Linked DNA regions of Drosophila melanogaster. The protein of the gene in region 2 binds, or shares a complex with, the protein of the main gene of each other region. Each region holds a gene or a part of one and is shown on either strand. Other genes may lie near its edges.

Evidence for each region. The genes of interacting proteins can lie anywhere in the genome.
Region 1: the proteins of eIF4E1 (region 2) and Thor are in contact, whole or in part, in a crystal structure (PDB 4UE8), measured with the Drosophila melanogaster proteins. Residues at the interface, in NP_001261626.1 of Drosophila melanogaster: Lys80, His81, Pro82, Leu83, Met84, Tyr91, Ile107, Thr108, Val113, Glu114, Trp117, Ser118, Leu119, Tyr120, Asn121, His122, Ile123, Lys124, Pro125, Tyr135, Leu174, Asp175, Leu178, Cys179, Ile181, Gly182, Glu183, Phe185, Asp186, Ser188; in NP_001285588.1 of Drosophila melanogaster: Lys51, Leu52, Ile53, Tyr54, Arg56, Phe58, Met59, Lys60, Leu62, Arg63, Ser65, Pro66, Leu67, Ser68, Gln69, Thr70, Pro71, Pro72, Asn74, Val75, Pro76, Ser77, Cys78, Leu79, Leu80, Arg81, Thr83.

What each region holds. Positions count from the first base shown.
Region 1 is NT_033779.5:3,476,384-3,480,135, forward strand, and holds Thor (thor), read left to right. Parts: upstream 1-2,050; 5' UTR 2,051-2,232; coding exon 2,233-2,377; intron 2,378-2,801; coding exon 2,802-3,010; 3' UTR 3,011-3,229; downstream 3,230-3,752. UniProt on the Drosophila melanogaster protein: Repressor of translation initiation that regulates eIF4E1 activity by preventing its assembly into the eIF4F complex. Hypophosphorylated form competes with eIF4G1 and strongly binds to eIF4E1, leading to repress translation.
Region 2 is NT_037436.4:9,400,594-9,404,345, reverse strand, and holds the start of eIF4E1 (eukaryotic translation initiation factor 4E1), read left to right. Parts: upstream 1-1,885; 5' UTR 1,886-2,042; coding exon of another isoform or gene 2,043-2,066; exon of another isoform or gene 2,067-2,429; intron 2,430-2,540; exon of another isoform or gene 2,541-2,689; intron 2,690-2,739; 5' UTR 2,740-3,249; coding exon 3,250-3,306; intron 3,307-3,392; coding exon 3,393-3,752. UniProt on the Drosophila melanogaster protein: Recognizes and binds the 7-methylguanosine (m7G)-containing mRNA cap during an early step in the initiation of protein synthesis and facilitates ribosome binding by inducing the unwinding of the mRNAs secondary structures.

The sequences.
Region 1 (3,752 bases), on a different chromosome or scaffold from region 2:
GGTAATGACCCACCGTTCGTCCGTATGTTTCACGCAATTCGATGGTGCAATTTCATCAGCCTCCCCGAAAAAGATTTCATCCGAATTTCACTATATATGTACGTATGTATTACCTGTCCCCCGGCGGATGGGAAAAACACCCCTCGGCGCTTAGAGAACCGGCTAGGAATATCTCAAGACGCATTTTAACTTGGCTGCAACGCAGTAGGAAAACTGCCTGCCGTCTCTTTCCTCGCGGCTATAGGCCTGTCTCTCTCTCTTTGCGCAGGTACATCATATTGTATCTGATGAAAACGAAAGCAAAATCCGAACTGGTTTCTTCGAGGGTTGATAAGCCCTAATGGAGGTGGAAAATGCGGAGAAGAGCCGCTCTCTCACCCAAAAAATAAAATATATAAACATATCAGCCGGCACGTAGGGCGGTTTCTATGCTGTGGACTACGTGCTAGATGACACGGCAAAATTGTCCGTGTTTTTCGTGTTCTGGCTCCCTTGTTTACCGTTTACTACTTTGGGGGTCAGTTGGCACCCAGCTAACTCCCACCCCCATCTAGTGTAATTGATGGATTTGGGTCATGCTTTCCCCAATTCAAATATGCTCCTCGTCACATGGAAATCTACTTTCAAGGTCTGTCAAGCTTCCCCATTTAGCCATCATAAATATTAGCACGCTTAAGTATCGACCTTGTGCAGATTTCTAGGTGGGCGCCATCCCCTGTCCCACATCGAGATCATGATCGCCGCAGATCAACACACGTGGCCACCTTTTGTCAACCCCATATCCCTCGGAATGGCCCGTGGCCAATATCCGAATTACGTCGAATCGTGGGCGCCAACGTAGGCAAAAGTTCCTGTAGCACTATTTACATGCGTCCAACGATTAAATATCGTCAACATCGCCCCCGCATAGCTAAAACCGCTCGTGCCGCTGCTTGGATCCACCCTATGCTTGCTGCGATCAGTGGGGCATATTAGTTTGATTCCAAACAAGATATTCCACCTCAAAGAACTTGGGAACTAATAAGGGTTCGATCACCAAATTTGGTGATATGATATATGTATTTCTTTAGATATGTGCGCTAATATTAAACGGCTAAGAAGTCAATGTGCCAAAGAAAAGATATTAAATATGTATGTTTCATATCAGTCAAGTTAAATTTTGATATGAGCTAAGCGTACTTTTGGATTGTGCACTCCTAAATATAGAAATCACGCTAAAATTGCATATCTAAGTAAATAAAGCAAGTAAGTTATGTAAGACGTGTATCTTTTCGTGATAATTATTTCAAAACGGCTCGTGCCAGATAATAATGAACACTTTCCGCCTGAAAAAAAGTGAAATGCTGGGTATCTTTTAGCCCATAAAAACCTGCAATATCGTTGCTCAAATTGCTATGCTCCGCGAGTTCGCACATGCATAGAAGGCACTCATAGCCTACGTCACGATTGCCGGCGACGTGTCTTTATGCTAATTAATGGTATTTCGCGAAAACGAGTGCAAAATAATGGCCCCATGGAGAGAGCGGCAGTACTTCACGAAATTCTGCGGAACACCTCTTGACTCCCAGACAGCCATAGATAAGATCCCAATTGCACCTGAGTCATCATCATTTCCCTAGCAAGATCGACAATAGACTTGGTTTTTAGAAAAGAATGCGATTGGCGTTTAGTGCTGTTGGCTAACTTGTTTACCAATAATATTGCCGTGCATTAAACAATAACAAATGACCAAAGATAAACAAGAGCTCAAGGCGAGAAGCCCCTCAAGACAGCCCCCCACCATCGCTACACCCCTTATCATCTAGAACCTCCGAGGTGTGCAGGCTGCAACAAAAATAAGAACAATAGGGGAATATATTAGAATACGGCAATAACAACAAGAACCAGCCGGTTTGTCATAAACTACGCAGAAAATACACCAGATAAAAACAAAAAACATCAGCCGACCAAGCAGAATAATCAGGCGAGAGAGCAGGCGAAAGAGCGAGAAGAGAGCGAGAGAGAGTAAGAATGGGGGGGTATAAATAGAGCCACACTTCGTAATACCGCCAGCAATCGCCTAGCGAACAGCCAACGGTGAACACATAGCAGCCACACAAGCTCTATAGCTGATACAAGCAACGAAATACAAACAACGCAGTTTGTGTAAACAATCAAATTGTCGCAGCCATATCGAGTGTGCTTACACGTCCAGCGGAAAGTTTTCGAAACCAATCCAATCAATCAGCTAAGATGTCCGCTTCACCCACCGCCCGTCAAGCCATCACCCAGGCCCTGCCCATGATCACCAGGAAGGTTGTCATCTCGGATCCGATCCAGATGCCCGAGGTGTACTCCTCGACGCCCGGCGGAACCCTCTACTCCACCACTCCTGGAGGTAAGTTTCGAAAATTGGAAGCTGAGACTACATCGAGTATTATTAAGTTCCTTCCGGAAAGTGGAGTGATTTTCTTATCATTAGATATGATATCAAGATGAAATTAATCAACATATTTCGAAAACATAAACAAGTATACCGTTTCTTTCCTTTGCTCAAACAACAAACAAGCTTTTGTTTGAGTTGTGATACATTATTTTTGTAAAACTCACTCACCATTTTTTGGCTGATGAAACTGGGCCATCTCGCCGAGTCAGTCAGTTGGAAGATAATCCCGAGCACATGTTCCACAGTTCGTGACTCAGAGTAGCGCGGCAAAGAAGCGTTTACTCAGCTGGCTTATCAGTGGGGAACTTTGAATACCTTTCTGATGCAACGCAGACCACCTTGACTAATAAAAATTTCCGCTTTCCTATAATTCCAGGCACCAAACTTATCTACGAGCGGGCTTTCATGAAGAATCTCCGTGGCTCCCCATTGAGCCAAACTCCGCCGTCCAACGTGCCCAGTTGCTTGCTGAGGGGAACTCCGCGTACTCCCTTCCGCAAGTGCGTGCCCGTCCCCACGGAACTGATCAAGCAGACCAAGTCGCTGAAGATTGAGGACCAGGAACAGTTCCAACTGGATCTGTAGGGGGTGTGGCGTGTACACCGCCATGCAGCAACTGCCAAATCCAACTAGTTCTTAGATGCACCCACTAAAACCGATCTTATAAGCTTAGTGTACCCATTAACTAGATGCTAAGTTCTTAGTTCTTCCACCTTGTTTGTTCTCTCGGTCATATTGACCCCGTTACCTTGTAAAATCGTAGATCTTAAGTAAAATGCAATAAAAAAAAGGCACACATTATTTAAAAGAGAACCACACCTTCCATTGGGATTCAGTAGCTGCCAATTTACAATTATAAATTTTAATTTATGTTTGAGAAATTCAGTGCCAAATTACTTTCTTTATCGGCAATTCAACCTTGGCAGGCCACGCGTTATGTGATAGAACACTTTCCACTTCACCTTGAGTCAGTTTCGGTTTAGTAGTATTTTCGGCAGTTTGTTGAACTGTTTGAACTGTTTACGAAGAAATTTAGCGAAAGGGGGCTTTTTGGGGGGCGGTACACATGTTAGACAGCTGGAAATACCGGCCGGCTTTTTAGTTAGCCAGTCAGTCAGTGGCCCCAGCAGCGCGTGTCCCACTTATTGCAAAGATATGCATACATATTTATAATGTATCCAAAAACCGGCAAACAAACGCCACAAAAAAATAGATCTTTAAGAAACTGCGCAGTTGGGAAACGACCTCGCCTTTGGCCCCCGCCCCGCCCTTTACCATTTTTCTTATATATACAAAAGTAGTGTGCTGAGCACATGTTCGTTCAGAT
Region 2 (3,752 bases):
AGATACTTTTTTGACCAATCGGAATTCATTGGTTCAGTAAGCATATTCGGCGACTGGGTGTCTGAAATCTGGTTTCGATCATCTTATCTTGATGGTATAACTAGCATTTAGATACCCATTTTTCTTCATAATTCTTAATTTTATTTGTTGCATAATTTATGAAAATAGTACGAAAAAGTACAATTTTTTATACAGGTTCTGTATAAGTTACAAGGTACCCATTAGTCGAAACCTTATTTATCGAACTTTATAACCTAACCACTTGACTATGATTTATTTACAATTAAGCATCTTTGAGCGCTTCAATTACTTTTTACTTCCAATTAATGCAAAGTATACTGCCTAAGGTTTAACTTTGACTCCGGGTTTCCTGTAGATCGGCGGAAGTTTTTTTGTTTAGACATGCGCCAAGCACTTGAAGTCCGCAATTGACTGCTGCATAATTAGATGCGATGCGATTGGAATAGAGGATGCGATGGGTAATCACATCAACACTTGGACAGGCGATCAAGTGTCAGTTCAATAAGACCGGCTCAAGTGTAATTAGAGACCACGGATCTTGGGTTTCGGGAAGGGATCTTGGGTTTTCGGATCATCGATCCAACGATCGTGCCGAGCTCTTGAAAGCCGCTTATTAGGCATTTACAAGGGCAACTGCGCAGTTGATCGGTTACAAAATGACTTAACTATTTAAATAATAAACACGCTTCACGTTTCTCAGGCTAAGTTCGTAAGCATCTTCAATTTTCGGATTGCGTCTCAACTGCAACAGTCTATTTTGAAAGTCAAGCGTTTCTAAAAGCGCCACATCATCAGCGGTAATATTATCCATCCCTCATAAATATTCCCATGTTGTTTTGGGATCTTTTGGCTATTTTTAAAGCAGACAAAGGCGAGCCAATAATGTGTGGAAAGAATTTTGGTTGGATTCAAATACGAAGCAGCTTTGGTAACAACTAAGGTTCTGGGTTAGTCATGATTCACCAACAGGTTAGACTTAGTTTTGTGGCAAAATTTAACCAATGACGTCCAAGTTCTAACTAAAGTAATATCGTTACTTTGTTATTTTATTTTTGGATATTCTCGAAAGTTTCTGGAATTCTCAAGAAAACTTAAACAATATAGAGTCGCATTATATGGAAAACTCATTGATTCATTCTTATGTTTGTTATTTTGTTATTAAATTCCAATTGATGATGCCAGTGTCTAAATAAAAACGAAGACCTAATTTTCAACCAAAAATCAGGTTTTCTGGGCTTGTCCGTATTAAACATTTTTGATAATTATTTATAATATATTGTTATTTTTTGCTGGCTTCAAAACATCAACAAATTGTGTATGATAAATGACGATGACGTTGTTGTTGATGGCGATCGCGCTGTGGGAATCAGATGAAATGTCAATTAAGTTTGCATTTATATCTTTGATTGAAGCTCTAAGATTTGCTTTGCCATTTTATGCGGAAGTTAAGCTCGGTCAGTTCTTGAAAAAGTTCCCATGGGAGCAAGTTATTTGTTTTTTGACAATAAGAAGCGTTTATTTAAAATGGCTTATTATGGCCTCAATGATTCCTAATAGGCGTAACTTACTGGTTATAAACTTGTTTAATATCGTTTCATTTTAAACCTGGATGACAGAAAATGAATTTCGGTTCAAATACAAATATTACAATAGAAAGTATGATATTTAGCTCCGATAAACATTTAACAATTTTAGTATTTTAATGGTGAAATGGTAAATTCCGCGCATGAAAAGAGATAGAAGAGATGACATATATGGAAACCTTAAAAACGTAACGGTTGCTTGGGTTTTATAACAATCAGTCAGTGACAGGCATTTCCAGAGTTGCCCTGTTCAACAATCGATAGCTGCCTTCGGTCGCTCGTCACTAACTTTCCTTTAGGCAACGGCCACACTGTCTGGCCACCAAAATCCCAAACTTAATTAAAGAATTAAATAATTCGAATAATAATTAAGCCCAGTAACCTACGCAGCTTGAGTGCGTAACCGATATCTAGTATACATTTCGATACATCGAAATCATGGTAGTGTTGGAGACGGAGAAGGTAAGGCGAGAAACGGCGAGCCGCATGGTTTCGATTTCGGCTGAGCCGTGGCAGGAACAACAAAAACAGGGTTGTTGCACAAGAGGGGAGGCGATAGTCGAGCGGAAAAGTGTGCAGTTGGCGTGGCTACATCATCATTGTGTTCACCGATTATTTTTTGCACAATTGCTTAATATTAATTGTACTTGCACGCTATTGTCTACGTCATAGCTATCGCTATCTCTGTCTGTCTCTATCAAGCTATCTCTCTTTCGCGGTCACTCGTTCTCTTTTTCTCTCCTTTCGCATTTGCATACGCATACCACACGTTTTCAGTGTTCTCGCTCTCTCTCTCTTGTCAAGACATCGCGCGCGTGTGTGTGGGTGTGTTCTTCTTTAGCTACATATACATAAATAGGAGAGCGGAGAGACAAATATGGAAAGAATGGAAAAAGAGTGAATTACTGCAATTAACCAGTCGCGAACAGTTAAATCATATTTTTGTCGGCCATTGCAGTAAATAAACCGTTGGCTTTCCCTCTTCACTTTCCACCTCCTTTCTTTGACGTTAATTTTTTTCAGTTAATCGCGCCGCTGCTTTGAACTCGAACACGAATTTTAGCCGCAACATAAAATAAAATCAAGTAACTCTTTTAACTCAAATATAAAACAACAATTCCAATTCTTTCAACAGGCAATCTGTGTTTTTATGTCAGATACGTGCGCGTGTGTGTGTGTGCTGTAATTCCATCGCCCCTTTCGATTCCGAGTTCGTTAGGAACAGCATTAGTTCGCCTATTTTAGTAGTAGCCTAGTCCGATTTTAAGTGAAACAGGATACTCCAACACCATATACTCAATAATTAGTTACAACACCCACTCAACCATACAGCAACAACAAGTTTAACGAGTTTTTTGTATTATCATTACTTAGTTTTTTGGTTAATAATACACAAGTGAAGAGCGAACTGCAGGGGAGCGAGATATCACGAAACAATCCAAAATCCACACACACTCAAACAGAAATCAAAAGCTTCGCTCTCTCGCACACACACGCACCAACCAACTATCAACTATCACAAACACCGCGACAGAGAGAGAGCGGCAAGTGAATCACGGCGAATCGAAACCGATCCGAACCCACTCCGGAGCCGAAAAAGAACTGATCCTACCATCAAACGCATCCAATAAACACGGCCGCCAACATGCAGAGCGACTTTCACAGAATGAAGAACTTTGCCAATCCCAAGTCCATGTTCAAAGTAATACTCTCAGTGCGCCTGTCGCTAAGCCAAGCTAATCTAATCTTCTGATTCCCCTTCCCATCCATTGCCATCTTCTCCCGCAGACCAGCGCCCCCAGCACCGAGCAGGGTCGTCCGGAACCACCAACTTCGGCTGCAGCGCCCGCCGAGGCTAAGGATGTCAAGCCCAAGGAGGACCCACAGGAGACTGGTGAACCAGCAGGCAACACTGCAACCACTACTGCTCCTGCCGGCGACGATGCTGTGCGCACCGAGCATTTATACAAACACCCGCTCATGAATGTCTGGACGCTGTGGTACCTTGAAAACGATCGGTCCAAGTCCTGGGAGGACATGCAAAACGAGATCACCAGCTTCGATACCGTCGAGGACTTCTGGAGCCTATACAACCACATCAAGCCCCCATCAGAGATCAAGCTGGGTAGTGACTACTCGCTATTCAAG